Drosophila melanogaster: one gene and its partners. The protein of the gene in region 1 purifies or fractionates together with the protein of each later gene. This does not show direct contact. Each region holds a gene or a part of one and is shown in the gene's direction. Other genes may lie near its edges. The genes, in order: Cul4, l(2)dtl and mahj.

Evidence for each region.
Region 2: the proteins of Cul4 (region 1) and l(2)dtl purify together in Drosophila melanogaster (affinity purification with western blotting, with the first as the bait; one study listed by BioGRID). This does not show direct contact.
Region 3: the proteins of Cul4 (region 1) and mahj purify together in Drosophila melanogaster (affinity purification with western blotting; one study listed by BioGRID). This does not show direct contact.

The regions. Positions count from the first base shown.
Region 1 is NT_033778.4:8,101,697-8,107,893, reverse strand, and holds Cul4 (cullin 4), read left to right. Parts: upstream 1-1,575; 5' UTR 1,576-1,877; intron 1,878-1,954; 5' UTR 1,955-2,044; coding exon 2,045-2,369; intron 2,370-2,436; coding exon 2,437-2,681; intron 2,682-2,742; coding exon 2,743-3,203; intron 3,204-3,254; coding exon 3,255-3,441; intron 3,442-3,539; coding exon 3,540-3,732; intron 3,733-3,790; coding exon 3,791-3,927; intron 3,928-3,981; coding exon 3,982-4,371; intron 4,372-4,432; coding exon 4,433-4,711; intron 4,712-4,771; coding exon 4,772-4,924; intron 4,925-4,987; coding exon 4,988-5,083; 3' UTR 5,084-5,286; exon of another isoform or gene 5,287-5,349; 3' UTR 5,350-5,634; downstream 5,635-6,197. Other genes in the region: udd (under-developed), read right to left, coding at 959-1,438; Tmem63 (transmembrane protein 63), read right to left, coding at 5,990-6,197.
Region 2 is NT_033778.4:23,700,547-23,705,941, forward strand, and holds l(2)dtl (lethal-(2)-denticleless), read left to right. Parts: upstream 1-1,930; 5' UTR 1,931-2,088; coding exon 2,089-2,131; intron 2,132-2,405; coding exon 2,406-4,672; 3' UTR 4,673-4,857; downstream 4,858-5,395. Other genes in the region: sigmar (salivary glands marred), read right to left, coding at 1-44, 255-318; Alg3 (ALG3, alpha-1,3- mannosyltransferase), read right to left, coding at 4,985-5,395. UniProt on the Drosophila melanogaster protein: Substrate-specific adapter of a DCX (DDB1-CUL4-X-box) E3 ubiquitin-protein ligase complex required for cell cycle control. The DCX(DTL) complex, also named CRL4(CDT2) complex, mediates the polyubiquitination and subsequent degradation of E2f during S phase.
Region 3 is NT_033778.4:21,623,486-21,631,104, forward strand, and holds the start of mahj (mahjong), read left to right. Parts: upstream 1-1,544; 5' UTR 1,545-1,710; coding exon 1,711-2,120; intron 2,121-2,179; coding exon 2,180-2,330; intron 2,331-2,452; coding exon 2,453-3,271; intron 3,272-3,330; coding exon 3,331-3,603; intron 3,604-3,668; coding exon 3,669-5,792; intron 5,793-5,860; coding exon 5,861-5,981; intron 5,982-6,045; coding exon 6,046-6,143; intron 6,144-6,205; coding exon 6,206-6,568; intron 6,569-7,001; coding exon 7,002-7,062; intron 7,063-7,120; coding exon 7,121-7,330; intron 7,331-7,387; coding exon 7,388-7,392; 3' UTR 7,393-7,619. Other genes in the region: PTP-ER (protein tyrosine phosphatase-ERK/Enhancer of Ras1), read right to left, coding at 1-752. UniProt on the Drosophila melanogaster protein: Probable substrate recognition component of tsome E3 ubiquitin-protein ligase complex. Plays a key role in cell competition via its interaction with l(2)gl.

The DNA.
Region 1 (6,197 bases):
TCGGCAAGGTTTATGTCGCTCAGCGCAATAATTGGTTGTGACATTTTTATTGTAAAATTTTTAACTTTTGTGTTTTATTTTTTTGTTTTGTTTCGGATTCAATGTTATTATTATTTTTAAGCTTTCTAGTTTCACTTGTTTGTTTTTTTTTGTTTTGTAAATTTTTGTGTTGTATTATTAAAATTCTATATTGTTTTAATTTTTTATTTTTATATGTTGGTTTTAAAACTTAGTTGCCTTTGGACTTAATATTTTTGTTTCGTATTTCACTTCCACTTATTATTGGATAACCGAATTGGAATTATAATCCAAGTTGAAGAGTTTTCACGAATTTATTTTGGGAGATGTTTCGAGCACTGGACTATAAAATTTAACTTATTTTCCACTCGAAGGTTCTTTTTTTTTCGGATACTTTTGTATCCTACCGACTGCGCCAGTAAAATTGTTGTTTTATTTATGAGTCGAACTAATGTCCCGTCAGTTGACTAAGGACAACGCCAAGAAATAAAAAATAGTTTTTAGGAGAAATAGTTTCACGACTTTATTCTTTGGATCTCAGCTTAAGACTAAAAATCAAATGCAAATTGGATTGAGGAGAAGCCTCAGTATTTGAACAATATTTGTATTTCGGGAGAGCCTCGCTCTTGGGTTCTTAAGATTAGGTAGCGTTGAAAGAGGGCAGTCAAATCTGCTTAGGTCAGGCTTTAGGATGTTTACAAGAACGGCTGCGCTGCCAAAGATAAACGAATGCTGCGCAGCTGGGATACGTTATGGAAAATTACTAGAGTGCATTACTGATTTCTTTGAAATAATGGAAGTGGCTGGTTTGGACCACCCAAATACGTCACTATATATTAGTGGGATGGACGCAGTTTTAATAGGCAATTTAATATGCGTTTTTTTATGAGGTAGTTATATTATATTTCTTGCCTAACTTCGTCGTTATTAAAAAAGGTAACTAGGATAGAATAGCATTTAATGAATCGTCTAATGCTATGTCTTCATCTGTGGGTCTCGTCGGAGGAGTCGGCTCCACTCGCAACTGCTCCATTTTCGTGTAGAACTTTGGGCACTTTTGAAGAACCTTGGAGTATTCCGTGAATATTTGAAAGGACGCCCTTTGGAGCAGCGTTTCTCCCATATGATTGGAGGCCAGTATTTTTGCCAAGTTCTTGTAGTCCCGCTGCATAAGGCAATCCCGGGCCAGTCGTAGTTTCTCGTACGCAGTGGATCGTCGAACGCTGAAGTAAAACTCGTTACTGGCCGGAGGAGCACAGGATGGGTTTTGGTTCACCCAAAAGCCATCTTCGGGACTGGTGGCGATCTCAAGCGTGCGTTTCAAAACATTTGCGGGTATCCTTCTGGCTGGAAAATTCTCACCCTTTATTTTACGCGGTGCAGTTTTCAAAGGCGATGGCTTCTCATCTTTTGTTTTCATTTTATATGGCGAAAGCGAACATAAATGCGTCGCGAACACAATGCGTCGTGCTAACAGTGATAGGCAATGTTAACCTGTTTCACACCAATATCGATAGGCAGTGCTGCCCGCTGAGCTATCGATTACCCGCAGCCAATCGATGTTTTGATTCGTCCGATATCCCAAAAAGCAATATTTTCCGCATGCAACCAAAAGCGAAATAATAAAATGTTGCCTGTGTAATTGTACTTCCGAAGTTTTGTCGATTTGAATAGTCTCTCAGGCGTCGAAGGAACCCCATTTGTCCAAAAGGACGCCGTTTGTCGGAGAAATCTACTTCGCAGCCGGAAAATTCACAGGAAGTCTATTTGCCTTGAGTTCGCAAGTTGCCAATTTCTTGACGACCCCAGTGCAAAAGTCGCAAAAATATTACGAATATTTGCTGGTAATCATTTCAAGGGTACGTATCGAAATACAAACTGCAATCCCTTCCCTTAAAGGAAAAGCCAGCAATCAATAACCGATCTCCACGCCCAGGACTAAGCAAAGCCGGTGCGACGAAAGCAGGGCAGGATCAGGAGAGCAGGAGCGGAGTGGAGATCCTGCTGGCAGCAGGGGCCCTAAGCTATGAGTGCGGCCAAGAAGTACAAGCCCATGGACACAACTGAGCTGCACGAGAACACAGAGAATATTGCCGCCTGCCTGAAGAAGGCCGAGAACGTCGCCCCCACCGCTGCTGCCGCCTCGAGCGTGGGCCGCAGTGCCTTCGCTGCCCAAAACATGAATTCTGCGTCCACCAACGGCGAGCGCCTGCCAAACTTCTCCAAGCTAGGCGGCAGCCATGGCGAGATCCGCACGGCTTCAACTACCTCAAATCTCCTCAATCGCATGGGGGCTATTCACAACAGCAAGCCTGGCGATGTCAAGAAGATAGTGATTAAGAACTTTAAGGGTAGGTCCCGTCTAGATCTCAACTGTTTGTATACTGCATGATTCAACTTCCTTCCTTCCTTCCTTAGATAAGCCTACACTGCCCGATAACTATTCCAAGGACACGTACGTGAAGCTTGAAGAAGCCGTTATCGCCATCCAACTCTCCAAGCCCATTAAATATTCGCTGGAGGAGCTCTACCAGGCGGTGGTGAACATGTGTAGCCACAAGATGGATGCACAATTATACGCGAAACTCAAGGAGCTAACAGAGCAACACGTAAAGCGCAATATTAAGCTCAAGGAGCTCACCGGCGGTAGCATGGACAAACTGGTAAGTTGCTGTTTAAGGAGCACATTTAAAGGTTTACTCGTCAACTTTTATTGTCTTTTAGATTTTGCTGGAAAAGATCAACCACTGGTGGCTCTCGTTCTGCCAACAAATGATCATGATTCGCAGCATATTCTTGTATATGGATCGAACTTATGTGCTGCAAAATTCGACCGTTCACTCGATTTGGGACATGGGGCTGGACCTTTTTCGCATCCATTTTGCTCAAAACAGCGTTGTCCAAAAGCGAACCGTCGACGGTTTACTAACGCTTATTGAAAAAGAACGACAAGGCTCCACCGTGGACCGTGGTTTGCTGAAGAGCTTGGTTCGCATGTTATGCGACCTGCAGATCTACACCAGCTCCTTTGAGGAGAAGTTCCTCGACGCAACCAATCAATTGTATAAGGCTGAGAGTCAACGCAAGATGCAAGAACTGGAAGTTCCCGAGTACTTACAACACGTCAACAAGCGTTTGGCCGAGGAGAACGAGCGTTTGCGTCACTATCTGGACTCGAGCACCAAGTATGCTGGCGAAGTCAATAATAAAAACAATTATTAATGCGTTTTTTACAGACATCCACTGATTTACAATGTGGAAAAAGAGTTACTTGCCGAACACCTAACGTCAATATTGCAGAAGGGCTTGGATTCATTGTTGGAAGACAACAGACTGAGTGACCTTACACTGTTGTACGGGCTGCTTAGTCGAGTCAAAAATGGAACATCCGAGCTGTGCGGCAATTTCAACGGTTTCATTAAGGTATGGATATGTTAAGTAGTATAAATTTATTTAAAGATACCTTTGTTTTAACTGCAGTAAAACATATTAATAGATCGCGCTAATATACTTACTTTCAGAAAAAGGGACGCACCATTGTCATCGATCCCGAGAAGGATAAGAGCATGGTCCAAGATTTGCTCGATTTCAAGGACAAAATGGATGTGATAGTTCGCACCTGCTTTGAGCACAATGAGAAATTCACAAACTCGTTGCGCGAGGCCTTTGAGTTCTTTATCAACCAACGTGCCAACAAGCCGGCCGAGCTTATTGGTAAGCGCCCACTGTCACTATATTTAAACGAGTTTGCTAAAGTTTATTCTTCCATTAGCTAAATACGTAGATATGAAACTGCGATCTGGCAACAAGGGAACCACAGATGAGGAGTTGGAAAAGACTCTAGATAAAATCATGGTTCTGTTTCGTTTTATACATGGCAAAGATGTATTTGAAGCGTTTTACAAAAAGGTTGTGTCCATCTATTGTATGTCGAGCATTATTTAATAACGAATACCATCTTAGGACTTGGCCAAACGATTACTTGTGGGCAAATCGGCATCAGTGGATTCCGAAAAGAGTATGCTCTCCAAGCTTAAGCAGGAGTGCGGTGGAGGGTTTACGTCCAAGCTGGAGGGCATGTTTAAGGACATGGAACTGAGCCGAGATATCAACATTGCGTTCCGCGGACACGCGTTAAGCAACAACCGCGATGTCCACAACTTGGACTTGTGCGTCAGCATTCTTACCATGGGCTACTGGCCTACATATGCACCTACAGAGGTCACAATGCCGCCACAGTTCATCAATCCTCAGCAGATTTTCAACAAATTTTATCTGGAAAAGCATAGTGGGCGGAAGTTGCAGTGGCAGCCTACATTAGGAAATTGTATGCTGCGTGCTCAATTCGATGCGGTAACTACTAATGGCTCCTACTATGTTCTATGCGATTGCAATGTTTACGTATGTTTCACAGGGACCGAAAGAATTGTTGGTCTCGCTGTTTCAAGCGCTTGTGCTTCTATTGTTTAACGATAAGCCAGTTCTGAGCTACGAGGAGATATTGGCCGCCACCCTCATCGAGGATGGAGAGTTGCGTCGAACACTTCAGTCCCTGGCTTGTGGGCGCGCCCGCGTCATAACAAAAACACCGAAAGGCCGCGAAATCTTGGATGGCGATCAGTTTGATTTTAACAATGAGTTCACAAACAAATTGTTTAGAATCAAGATCAACCAAATACAGATGAAGGAGACAGTAAGTGGCTTTAGTTTTGATGTAATTTGCACACACTTAATCTTTCCCCTTTTCCATTAGAATGAGGAGCAAAAGGCGACGGAGGAGCGTGTGTTTCAGGATCGTCAGTATCAAATTGATGCGGCTATTGTGCGCATTATGAAAATGCGAAAAACGCTGAGCCATAATCTTCTCATCACCGAGCTGTTCAACCAGCTTACCTTCCCTGTCAAGGTCCGTATACTAATCCTATTTGTTCTAAGTAGAAAGAAGCTAATATGTTCGTTGGTATTCCAGCCCGCTGACCTAAAGAAGCGAATCGAGTCGCTCATCGACCGCGACTACATGGAGCGAGACAAGGATAATCAAAACCAATACAACTATGTGGCATAAATGGCCACAGATTCTGTGAAATCCGAACACCGATTCGATTGTAATTCGCTCTATACCATACACATACATACTAGCAGTCTAATGAAGTTTTTGGAGTGCCCTCGTCCGATCGGCGATGTTCAGAGTTTTTCAGCTGTAATTTCGTTTCTATAACTAAATCGTTGAACAATCCGCCAGCTAATAGTGTAGCGACAGTTCTTTTTGTAAGTTACCTTATCATACAATAAATTAAGCGTTTATTTTACAAGCCGAGTCCTTTGAAATAGGTCATCGCCCTCGGAACGTCGATGCCTCCAGCAATTTAAAAAAGTTTTCGAACCGAAAGCAAACTAGGTGTTCAATAAACTTATTTATTGGACTTATTCTAATTTGTTTACTTTTAATTGATAATTCTCCTTCAATTAACAATAGAAGTGACATTTGCAGGCTAATTTTCTAAAGGAAACATTAAAATAATTATAACTCGTACTAGTAGCTCTGTATGCAAAAAAGAGATACGCATAACTTAATAGTTTTTTATTTACCATAAATAAAAAATTACTTGAAAATATAATGCACTTCGTGTTTCATTTGTAAAATATTACCAGCATTACTGCTTCAAAAAATCAGCGTCGAGCCCTTTGTTAAGCAGTTAGCAAAGGAATATAGTATATATACAGTTACAGATAAAATTGGGAAATTAGGTAGATTATATACAGATCAGAAATAAATATTGCTATCGCTTTCGCGTGCAGGGGTCATATTAAAAATGACATTGAGGCTGGTTTAGGTATCACAAATTGCCTTGCTGTTATCCTCCTGTCATTCTTTCGTATGCAAATCAAAGCTGCCAACTTGAAAAGTTCTTAGTGGCTTTTGTAGATATATTACAAAAATATTTGTAGTGTCTCCCGACAATAATACCATTTACGCCTCAACACTGTTGACGCTGTATTGTGAGCTGTCGTACTCGGACACGCTGTCGGAGCCGTAGCCCCCAAATGCTGCCGCCGAAGGTCGCACACTGCTGGTCCTTATCCCATTATCTTTCAGCACATCGGGCACGTAGATGGGTGCCGGACCGGCAATTTCCACAATGCTTGGGCGGCGCGTGGCCGCACACCGCTTAATTGGT
Region 2 (5,395 bases), about 16 Mb from region 1:
CCGCAGCCCGATATCGTGCGACTTGAAGACATTGTCCGCCATGACTAAAGCGGATGGGAGGGGTGGGATTGGAATTCAGATTCAGACATTATTATCGCTGCATATTCATTGACTAAAGCATTGTGGCAAAGAAATACGAGCAGTACGAGCAAACAAAACGGAGCAACAACTCAGCAACCAAGGAAAACTTAAAACTGAACACTGAATGGTGGCAACTGAAAAGCAAATCAGCTCCGCTCTTCTCCGCGGTTTACCTTCCAAGTTCCAGTAGTCGACGCTCCACAGCAGCAGACATTGTCGAAGCCCGGCCACCGACATCGCGACTATATATCACACATATATTACACCGATTCCAGTTGCAAGCATTGATAAGGGAATTATAGACAGAGATATAAAAACATGAATGATTGGGCCATGTACATCAGCGCCGTATCTTTAGATAAAGGAAACCTGGTTCTTTCTTCGCTGTGCTTCTGTGTTTCTTTGTGCTTTACGTGAAGTGGGCAATAAAACAGTCTGTGTGGCCTACGTTTAACTACAATGAGTCACTCAAATGCAATTACTTTTACCTATAGTGCTGGGAACTGAAACATTGGAGGAGAGTCCTGTAGGACTGAAGTCTGTTTAGACTAATAAATGGAATCAACTAACATAAGTCACATTTCTATTTAAAGAACAAAACAAAACGATTAATGTACGCACAACTTTATTTGTAACGAATAATTTCTTATCGAGTGTTCGTCACAAGCTTTTAACAAACAAAACAGGAATCTAACGATAATAAGACATTCTGGGGAATTCGAATTGGGTTATCATCGTAAACACAACATAAAACGAATAAATTTGATATAAGGAATTTAATGTACAGTCAAAGTTAGAGCTCCGCTGCTCCACAACTTTGCTGCTTTCCACACACAGATATAGGAATGCTGCCGTATTAATAATGGATGACCAACTGCGCCCCTCTGACCGTATCTATAAGGTCGTTCTAACGGCGCGGCGTACGTGCTGGAGCCCGAAATGGAAATGCGGCAGTGCTTCCAACTGTCCAAACAAGGAGTCCCGATCAGAGCTAGTTGGGTGACGGAGTGCTGGGGGGAGGAAACCGCTGGCGGGTCAACAGAGTTCAGACACACATAGGTATTAACTAGAAGTCGTGACTAAGCCTAATCTGGAGCAGGGCATCCCTGGTTGCTAATTTAACTAAGTGAATGCCAGTTCCAGTTAGATAACGCCCGGCAATAGAACCGTGTCAGGACACGGACTGCTCCAAATGGCTAAGGTCACGCGAAGTGCAATAAAAGAAGGCCTATCCCTTCAAAGGAACGGAGTGTGGGTCCCCCAAGGACGCCAGTGGAGTGCGGAAGTGCGCTACAGCCGAAACCACAGAGTACTTGAGTTCGTTGGGCCATTCTTCTCCTGGCTTTCCTGTTTGTCCTGCATTTGCGTGTTCCGTTTTCGCAGCAGGAGGGTTTCTTTACCTTCTGGGTGTTATTGATTGCAACAGGCTGTGTGTGATGCCCGCCCCCTTGAAACCAGAATAGAAATCCAATTTGGCGCTCACCTGTTTTTGTTTTTGTTGTTGCTGCAGTCCTTGAATCGAATCCTTGAGTCCTTGAGTCCAAGTATGTGTGTGTATGGGTGTAATGTGTGCTTGATGACCAGTGTCCGCAAATCGAAGTGCTAGCGAAAGCAACTGAAAGGGGTTGGCTGCATTAAAGCCCGCGAACTGCGTACAATTTGCAGCTAAATTTATGCGCAACTTCGATTAAACATAAAACAACTCAGCGAACAGCAACAAAAACAAAATATCAGCCTGTGAGACCAGCTGCTTGTAGCAACCAAATGTTAGACTGAAACGAATCAATCTTCCGTGGCTAGTATTATTTTCACTTTTGGCGGTTCTCCAGTCTTTCGCAACAGAATGCGTTTACTTCCCATCTGAGCACGGTCACACTGCCCAAGAGTCCAGCTGCGTCGTTGAAAAATATTTTCGATGCCTCGAAGGTTGATTTATTTCAGAGGAAATAGCAGGAAATAAAGTTGAAAACGCAGATTACGAGCAGCAGCCGCCAAGAGGAGTGCACAATGAACATTTACAACAAGTTGCGGGCCAGGGAGCATGGCTACGGTGAGTCTTTCGCTTGGCGGGAGAATCTCACTTTTGGCGCTCGAATTTCCTGCGATCAAAGGTGTTGATTTTTAAAAGGTTTCAATGGGTTTTCCTGGCCATCTGGTCAATGTGCATCCTGCACGGCCACCTGACCACAGAGCATTGCCTAAGGGGTGAAGAAACCCGACTAGTTGCTCCACTGGAAACTGCTGATCGTGCAGAAGTTCCGTGGAAAACAAAGCCACGGCACTATTTTCATGGTTTCTCCTCTGGTTTTCGTTTTTCTTTTTAGGCAATGAGAGGACCTACGACTTCGCCCTGCGCCGCCTTTCCGTGGCCAAGGAGGACAGCTGGCGGGGCATCGCGCCGGCCAACTACTGCCCAGACTTCAATCCGGAACCGCCGATCTTCTCCGCCAAGTTCGCCAACTGCGATGGCTATCGGCACATCCTGGCGATCGCCAACGAGGACGGCAAGATCACGCTGCAGGACACCACCCAGCGCAACCACCAGCCGGAGGAGCAGTCCCTGGTGGGCCCGCAGTGCCACTTCAACGCCGTTTTCGATCTGGAATGGGCACCCGGCCAGATGCGCTTCGTCTCCGCCTCGGGCGATCACACTGCCAGACTGTGGGAGGTGGCGGGCTCCGGCATACGCGGCCTGAACTCCTATGTGGGTCACACAAGGTCCGTCAAGTCGGCGGCCTTTAAGCGCACCGATCCCGCTGTCTTCGCCACCGGCGGCCGTGATGGCGCCATTCTCATCTGGGACATCAGGGCCAATCTCAATATGGACCTCACGTCACGCGTGGACAACTGCATCTACAGCGGTCACACGGGCGGACCGGGCACGCCAGTCTCACAGCGCAAGCAGCGCACACGCACTCCCAAGATGGCCGGAGGAACCACCTCGAGCAGCATCACTGGCTTGGCCTTCCAGGACAACGATACGTTGATCTCCTGTGGTGCCGGTGACGGAGTCATCAAGGTGTGGGACCTGCGGCGCAACTACACAGCCTACAAAAAGGAGCCACTGCCCAGGCACAAGCTGCCATATGCCGGCAGCTCCACCTTCCGTGGATTCACCAACCTCATTGTGGACGCGTCAGGCACGAGGCTGTATGCCAACTGCATGGACAACACCATCTATTGCTACAATCTGGCCTCCTACTCGCAGCGCCCGCTGGCGTGCTACAAGGGACTCCTTAACTCCACGTTCTACATCAAATCCTGCCTCAGCCCGGACGGCAAGTATCTGCTGAGCGGAAGCAGCGACGAGCGGGCTTACATCTGGAACCTGGACCACGCCGAGGAGCCGCTCGTTGCACTGGCCGGACACACGGTGGAGGTAACCTGCGTGGCCTGGGGCTCCAGCCACGATTGCCCCATTGTCACGTGCAGCGATGATGCGCGTCACAAAATCTGGCGGATTGGACCCGACCTGGATGGCCTCAGCGAGGCGGAGCGGGCGGAAAAGTACCGAGGAACTGCCTCCTACGTCAGGGAGTTCGGCAAGAAGGCATTTGGTCCGTCTAGTGGAAATCACAAGTACAATCTTCGAGATCTGGAGTCCACGCCAAGATCTCTGAAGCGCCTTATGGATCAAAATGAAAGGACGCCAGGTTCCGTGGAAAAGACGACGACCAAGCGTTCGTTCCTGGAAATGCTGGGCGTAGCTGGCCAGGAGACGGAAGCCACAGAACAGCCCCAGAAACGGGCGAAGCCACTGGAGTCACGTGGAAGGCGGCTCTTTGGACCTTCTAGCCAGGAAACTGCTTGCAGGCACATACAACTTCAGTCCATAAACGAGGAAGATGCCTCGCCGAGCAAGAGACAAAAGGAGAACTCTGCCGCGGAGGATGTCTCACCACTGCACAAGCTTCTCAGCACACCAAGTCATTCCCCTTTGAGTGAGAATGTCAACCATGTGTACACCTCCCCGCCAACCACGTCAGCGGCAGCAGCAGCGGTGGCTGCAGACGCGCTTAATCCGCCGCCGATCTCCGCTGCCATCTACTCGCCCACCTCCAACCTGCCCAATTACGTGCTGGATGGCGAGGCACCGCACCTGGGCATCATGTCGCCCAAGCGGAAGGCGAAGGAGAAGGTGGACTGGCTGACGAATATCCGCAAACAGAAGCTGATGAGTGGCAGGGCCCATGTGACGCTCAGCGAAAAGATCAGCGAGGAGCAGCAGGCCGATGTGCTGGCATCCCCGCGCCTCCAGAGTCTGCGGCAGTCAGAGTGCAGTCCCAGGATACACGCCTCGCCCCGCAGACGCATCTCCCATACGGACGGAGGCGGTGGCACGCCGGCTGGCAGCTCCTCGCACTCCCATTCCCAATCCCAGCCAAAAACGCCCACTTCCAGTAGGCGAAACAGCGAGACGACGCTCCTGCGATTCTTTAGCATTCAGAGAAGTAGCAGTGTGCCGGCGGAGGAAACAACGACAACGAATGCGGCTCCCTCCTCTTCTGATCCCCATCCCCCGGCAGTGACTGCGCCCGCAGCCACGCCCCTCAGCATGCGCACGCCCACGACGGCGGTGGGCAGCGATTGACGCGGAGCCTCGAGCCACAGCACCATTATTGCACTTGTAGTTTTAAGCGGACATTGTTTAAGTTATTTTATGTAGATAGTAGGTTGCATCTATCGCGGGACGAGTTGGTAACCAACTCCCCGCCCTCTGTACAGAGCCAAAAGATACGAAAGACTAACGTACCCGAATAAAAGTAACTCCATTTTAAAGCTGCCTTGATTGATTCTCTAAAAACTAACTCGTTTAATGTACTGTTTATTCAATTTTTTTTTTGGCATAATCAAAACGGTTTATATGTGGCACTCATGGCTAACAAGTGGCACTCAGACCATTTTACTGCAGCTTTTTCTGTTGCTCCTGCTGCTCCCTCTTGGCCGCATTATTAATCCGCATGGTCTGGACAAGCTGCTTGGCCACCCCAGCGAGCAGTATGATGTGGGTGAAGTGAAGGGCAGCGCTGGAGAAGTTCGTACTGGGATAGGTGTTCCAGCAGTACTCAATCAGTCCGAGGATCAGGCAGCGCACGCCCAGCGAGTACGGCGTCGACCAGGCCAAATAGGGTAGCGAGTGGAAGTACCAGACGTAGAACTGATAGTGCAAGGATCGGGAGCAGGCCACGCCCACCAGGTTGCACAGGAAGAACGGCAGCAGGGCCAGCTGGGTGCAGCGATCGAAGTGGATGCCATAGCGTTCCGGTTCCGCCTGTGCGGGTGCCGGAGTGGCCTTTCCTCCAGACGCCTTCTG
Region 3 (7,619 bases), about 14 Mb from region 1:
TCCTCTAAACAGACTGTATCCATGGGCGCATCCTGCACGACATGATCGATCTCGGGGAAGCGAAAGAAGTTGCCGTTCTTGTAGCCGGCCGAGTTAATAATGTTCAGGGGTGAACCGGACACGTTTAGGTTGTTGATGGAGGATAGTAGTTTCGGGGAGTAGCTTAGGCGACTGGCCTCCAGTCCCGGCGTCGTGGAGGACTCATCCTTAAACAGGATGGTGGGTGAGTTGTGCTCGCTCTTCGACAAGTACAAGCTGTTCTCTAGGTCTTGGTCGACTGACCCGCCCTTGGGCATAGTGTTCTCCTTGTCGATGCCACGGCCACTGACCCGCTCCTCGCCGCTGGAGGTATTAATATGCGGCGAGCAGGATCGGCGATCATACTGTGATAACCTCTTGAACTTGCGGCCTAAAGTGGGAGACTGTGAGCTGGATGGATGGTGGACGTGGGCTGCTGGATGGGGGCTGGTAATGGTGAACTGCCGGGGGGTGAAGACCTCCTCCTCCTGATCCTCGTGCTCGGGAAAGCCCGGAACCCCGCCCCCAACCTCCACCGTGGGCGACGGAAACTCGAAGGACGTCTGCAGGTACTCGAGGGGCGTAAAGTAGGGTGTACTCTTGTTGCTCTCCGCATCCTCGCCAGCTTCAAGTGGGGTCGTGTCGGAGGGGGCGGCGTGGGTGGGACGGGGGGTCTGTGGGTAGGGGTACTCAATGGGTGCATTCTCCTTGTTGTTGTTTCGTAGCTTGTCCATGATACACACACACAATTGCTGAAGCGGGGCGATCGCAGCGCAGTCGCTCCGCCCGTTTAGTGTCTTGTCCTCACTCGATCGGCATTATAACTATCTCGCCCGCACAGTTAGCACTTCCGAATTGGACGCAAATCATGGGGAAAAGAGCGTTTTCTTTTCACAACATTTTCAGAGCTAAAGCATGGAGGGCTACCAGACCGCGTATGTAATCGATCCGGCAATGCCTTCATTGCTTACCGTGCTGCCAGGCCGCAGACTAACTGCACCAAGACCTGGCAACGTTGTACCTAATTTAACCGCATTTTTCAAGTGTCTTTTAAAATAAAAAGAAAGAATAGGTTAACAGATCTAGTGTTTACATCAAGGAGTTGCAGAATTTGTAATGCAGATGTTGTACACGGGCGATAGTTAATTCAATCGATCAACTGAGATGGTATCAGACAATTATATTTTGCATGCATCCAGAAAAATTGTTGTAAAAGATCACAGACTTAGTTCTAAATAGTATTTCAACCTACCTGTATTTTTGTTTATGAAATCACTACAAAGTTGTGAACAATTTAGAAGCAACAACGTAGTGTTCCTATTACCACCGTTCCGTTTACCTCACAGTTGCACGTTGCTCTTTGGCACGCTTTTATCTGTGCATTTGCTTGGAAATAATTAATTGAGTTAGGCATTTAAATCCTTTTGTGTACTTTAGACTTATTTAAAGACCTTTTAGATTGGTTTAATTTGCCGAAAGACGAAAACAAACAAATTTGTGCGACAGCTGACTTCATTATTTCAACGACAATAGCAAAAGGCCACACTAATTTTGCGAAAAGCGCGTGGTATTTAATACCTTATTTATTTGCTTTATTTCGCCATTAGAAGTAAGTTTCGCTGTGTCGAAAATCTAGCAAAGAAAGCCACTGGATCAAGACCTAGTGCATCCAAAACCCAGTAATTCATTTCGATGTCTGAGGGCAGCGGAAGCGAGAATGCGGCCGCAGCAGAGGCTGCGGCCGAGGCAGAGGCCGCGACTGAAGCGGCACTGATGGCTGAAGCTGTGGCTGTGGCCTACCAGAGCGACGAGGAGGAGCAGCCAGAAGCCGAGGATATGCCGGAGCAGGCTGGCGATAACCAGGAAGAGGACGCCGCTGAACAACAGGATGGGGGGGAACCAGAGGCCGACGAAGACGCTGATGCTGACGACGCCATGAGCGTGGAAAATGCGGAAAACGAAAGCGATAGCGGTGGAAACGCCGAGGAAACCGCTGCCGCCGACCGTCGCCAAGCCACCAAGAAGGAGCTCACCCAGATTATCGACAAGTGGGAGCAACAGCAGACCCAAAATGGATACGATCCAGTGCCCACTCTCAGGAGGTAAGCGTGCTTCAAAATCATTAACGCATGGGTCCAACTTAATACCTTTACTATCGCAGCCTTGCGGAGATCTTTGAGCGTGAGAAGGACGTGTATCGGCGCAAGGATCCGGATCCCTTGGACTCACGACATCCATATAGAGCCGATCCCAGCTGCCAGTACGGATTGCTACTCAAGCTGCTCTTTCGGAAGGATACCTTCATGGGCAAAGTAAGAATAAAGTCATGTGATTTTTATTTTTCTAAAAAGCAATGTAAATGTTTTCTTAAAATCAGGTGTTTTAGAATTTCCAAAACATAAGCTAACTAAAGTGAAATATTTTATTTAACTAGCTCCTCAACGATTACCTGCGAGAGAACTATTTCAGTCGCCAGAATGTCAGTCGCAGTTCTCTAGAACTAAACATCTTGGCCTGCCGCCTCATTCTGGAGATAATGCCAGGAATGGAGACCTCTGCAGTATTTCAGACCGCCGAAGGCGATGGAACCATCAATCGCATCTACTCTTGGGCAGAGGACAGCATTGAACCGCTTCAGAGCTATGCCACCGGGCTTTTAGCCGAAGCGATGGAAGTGAGCGACATAGCCATAAACTTTCGCGATCTTAATATTCGATTGGTGCCAAAGATGATCAAGCGTCTGCACATGCTCCTGGCGATCAGCAAGAGCGCCACTTCAGATGTCAATACGTCGATGCACAATCTGTCGGCTGACAGCAGCACGGCGGGCATGCTTAGCTGGGTGGCCTGCGCCAGTAATGCATCGGCTCCTCAATCGCCGCAGCACAATGGCAGTGGGCTGGGAGCAAGTTCCTCGCAGCATGGAGACGCCTCTAATATGTCCATTCTGTTCGAGAACAGCAGAGATGCCTTTTCCGTATCTCGCTATTACAAACGGATGTACATTCCTTTGCACCCGGCCACAGCAGATACCAGCCAAATGTTAATCATGCGCTTCCTGACCAGCCTGGGCGAATATCAAGAGTTCCTAGCCATGGCTTTCGAAAACAATGTGATGCAGCTAATTTTTGGCTACCTGGAGAACTTGGATCGCCGGGACACCTGCTTGGCCTACGAAGTTTTGAAGTATCTGGCTTCCCTTCTTTGCCACAAGAAGTTTGCTTTAGAGTTCATTTCACACGGTGGACTGGAGGTCAGTAAATGGTCTTGTAGAGGGAATGTAATTATTTTTAACTTTACTATTTTTTACAGCTTTTGTTAAAAGTGCCCCGCCCCAGTTTGGCGACTACTGGTGTGTCCATCGCCATCTACTACTTAGCATACTGTGAAGACGCCATGGAACGCATATGCAGTATGCAAAGACCACTTATTTCAGAACTAGTTCGCTACGCGCTTTGGATTCTGGGTCGTTGCCACGACTCCTCAAAGTGCCATGCCACCATGTTCTTCAGTCTGAGCTTCCAATTTAAGGTCATATTGGATGAGTTTGATGCTCAGGATGGTTTAAGAAAGCTGTACAATGTCGTAAGTAAATGGTTTAAACGAAAGAAGTTCGATTAAAGTCAATTACCTTAACTTCTTCCTAATAGATTTCCGTACTAAAAATTCTTGATCCGAGCCACAACGACAGCGATAATGACTCTGATTTCAACGAAGACGTAGAATGTGCTTCCCGACAAATGGTGCGCCACGTCTGCGTAGCCCTCAAGCGCTATATGGAGGCGCACTTCTTCTACAAGTACAACAGCTTTCTGTGCCAAACAAATGCGGCATCCCCGGCACCGTCATCAGCCCACTATTTCAATCAGAATCCCACGGTTGCTGCCAAACTGACCTTTGACCAATTGAACGACCAGATTCGCACGCTCCAGGAGCACACTTCTATCCGGGCGCACTGGCAACCCGTGGATCAGCTAATGAAGCTTGGTGGAATCACCATGCTACTCAGGATCATCGCCTTCAGTTACGATTGGGTGAACAGTGGACGCTCCGAGACGGTGCGCTCGGCTCTGGACGTGCTCAGCGTATGCTGTATTATCCCAAGAGTTTATGTTGTGCTCTGCGAGCGCCTGCTGATGCTAGACAAGACAACTACCTCCGGATTTTGCTCGGTTCTGGGCGCTGCTGCAGGAGAGATTAGCTCGGATGCAGAGGTTATCAAATCGGCGTTAGCGGTGCTGTGCCATTGTGTTTGCTCTCCGATCATTCGCAAGGACAGCGGCACCAGCCTGATTAAGTTTGGAACGTCCTCCAGGAAGAACAAGGCCAACCATAAGTACGCCGAAGAGCTGATTGAACGTGTGTGGGAGTCCGTGTGCTCCAACAATGGCATTGTGGTCTTGCTATCGCTGATGCAGACCAAAGGACCCATTACGGATGCGGACTGTATACGTGGAATGGCCTGTAGGGCCTTGGCGGGACTTGCTCGCTCCGATCGGGTCAGGCAGATCGTCAGCAAGCTTCCACTCTTTGCCAGCGGACAACTCCAGACGCTGATGCGGGATCCCATACTCCAGGAGAAGCGCGCGGAACATGTAATCTTCCAAAAGTACGCATTGGAGTTGCTAGAACGAGTGTCGGGTAAGACGAAACCGCTAAATAATCCTTTGGATCCATCGCTGTCCAACATGCACAAGGCCAATGTAATCGCCCAGACACGCATCCAGTATAACAAGCAGCAGCTGTATCAGCTTATCTTCGAGCACCTGGAAAGCAACGGTCTCTCCCAGACAGCCCAAATGCTGCAACGGGAGGTGGGTCTTCCGCTACAGACTCCCACTACGCGCAGTTTTCATCAATCACCTTTCGACTACAAAAGTCTTCCCAGTGGTAGTAGCTCGCTGTCTAGAAATCGTCTGCGAAGCCGCATGCAAGATGTGAACGCAGCGATAATGGGCAATGGAGACTTAAACAGAAGTTTTGGTGAGGACTCCTCGCCGGCAGGAGCCGGTGGTAGCAATGCGGGAGATGGAGTCAGCATACCAAATTTTAGCTCCCTTAACACAACGCAGACGCCCATAAAAATAAGGAGGACGGATAGAAGTTCAGTTAGCCGCTCTATCCAGAAGCAGGCAATGGAGCCTGGTGGCATGTCAGTTGGTCTTGCCGAAGATGGTCAACTGCATCCCAAGAGGATCACCCTAAATACCATCGTAACGGAATACCTCACCAACCAGCACTCGCTGTGCAATAATCCGGTGACAACCTGCCCGCAGTTTGATTTGTACGAGCCGCACAAGTGTCCAGATCCGAAGCCCAGCCGATTGCTAAGCTCGAACTACAACCTGACTAGTCGGCATGCTCGAACCCAAGCCGGATTTAATACCAGTCGCTTTGACCGTCGCTATGTGCACACGCACTTTTCACCATGGCGTAGCATTCGATCGGCGGACTACGAGGACCTAGAGTTCACCTGTTGCGATTTGGCGGGTAAATACATCATTGTGGGCACGCAGCAGGGCGACGGACGAGTGTTCAACATGAACGATGGCGTGGAGCAGTTCTTCTCCAACTGTCACAACTTTAGCGTTGATGCTATTAAGGCTAATAGAGCCGGAGACTTGGTCATCACATCTAGCTTCTGGCGCACACCCACCAGCATTCTATGGTCTATTGCGGACGATGAGTTCAAGCTAAAGTTGCGACTTCCCGATGTCACGTACTGTGAGTTCAGTCAAACGGTGCAGGATCGTTTGTTGGGCACCCAGAATGAGGTATACTAATTTGAGTTATTTTACGATCTATAGCAGTTTCAACTAATAAATTCACCTTTTTTTCACAGTGCGCCACGCTCTTTGACATAAACACTGGTTCCAAGGTGGCCTCGTTTACGCCAACCATACCTAATCTCTACACCAAAAACAGAGCAACTCTTTGCCGAACCGATGAGCTGATTTTGTCGGGTAATTACATAAATGCATTTATAAGTATAAAGTTACCTGAAATGTAACTGAATCGAATTCCTAGATGGCGTTCTATGGGATGTGCGTTCCGGAAAGGAGATCCACAAGTTCGACAAGTTTAATCAGTGCATATCAGGCGTCTTCCATCCCAACTGTCTGGAGGTACAGTCGAAATTTGTGTTGATTTATTTATACCATGTTAATATTTCCAACACAATTTGTAGATCATTGCCAATACCGAGGTGTGGGACTTGCGCACCTTTCATTTGCTGCAGACAGTGCCGGTGCTAGACCAGCGTAACTGCACCTTCTCCCCGATGCATGTAATCTACGGTGCTAGCTTGGGGGCTGATAGGGACCATGACATGGAGACGACCACCTACGACACCAGTTTCAACGTTCTGGACGCCTACGACTACTCGAGCATTGCGACCATTGACGTTAAACGCAACATAAACGATCTGAGCGTCAGCGCCAACGGGAGTCTGATCGCCGTGGTCGAAGACTACAGTGGCTACGAGTCCAAACAGGAGACCTACGTGAAGATCTACGCTGTGGGCGTTAAAAAGAGCGAGCGCTCGGAAGAGGTGCGTGCGGTTAAGGAGCTGGCCAGCGAGGTATCGGACGCAGTGGCGCCGGGGTCGGCAAACGCTAACGATGGTGGCGATGCTTCGCTGCTTCGGGTTTTCGAGGAGCCACCCGAGGAGCGCCCACAGCCGGCGGAAAACGCTGCACCCGCCGGTCCCAACGATTTTGAGGAGGATCAGCTACGCCGGCTAAGTCCCGCCACGCAAGCAAGTCCAAATCTTTCTCGCCAACATGCACCCAACAGCTCAATTGTTGGGGTGCGACGGCGGGCACGTAGACTGGGTGGCAATGGCAGCGGCAATGGCAGTGGCGGGAATGGGAATCTGAATCTTAATGGTGGTGGCGGAGTCGGAATCGGCGCTGCCATAGATCTGAGAACCCTCATGCGGCGCATGGATGATATTGAACTAAATATTATGTCTATGCTTGCAGGAAGATGATGAGGAGGTGCCCGAATCTGATGAGGACGGTTCGGATACGGGCTCCGAGAACAGTAAGTTTGATTTTGATTATAATCATTTAATCCGTTGCTAAATCTCCTTACTCCCTAGCTTTTGCTATAGGTCAAAATTTACTGGGTTTCCCCCTGCTTCGTAACCTTCATGGCTCGGACAACGATGACGAAGATCTGGATGAGGACGACGATGATGGAGAGCCGCTGGACTCCGATGACGATAGTGACGACGACGACGGCTCCGACAATGGCGACGACGATGGCGACTTTGATGTGCTGGAATACTTCGATAGAAGCAGCTCAGACGGTAACTCAAGATCTTTAGACTCTGTTCGTGTACGACTTGTATTTTCTCCTCCCCTAGATTGAGCCCACTCCTCATCCAAACCAACAACACACACAACTGTTCCTTCACCGATCCACTGCTCCGCTCCACTGTTCACCCACTGTTTCGTCTCGTCTCGTTTGAACCTCTTAGTTGTCCGCAGCGCGCATGGAAGGATGAGCAAGCAACAGTCGTCGTAGCATAAGCACTCTAGATATTAAGCTGTTACATTAAAATCTAAATTGTTATTTTTGAATTTTGTACAAATCAA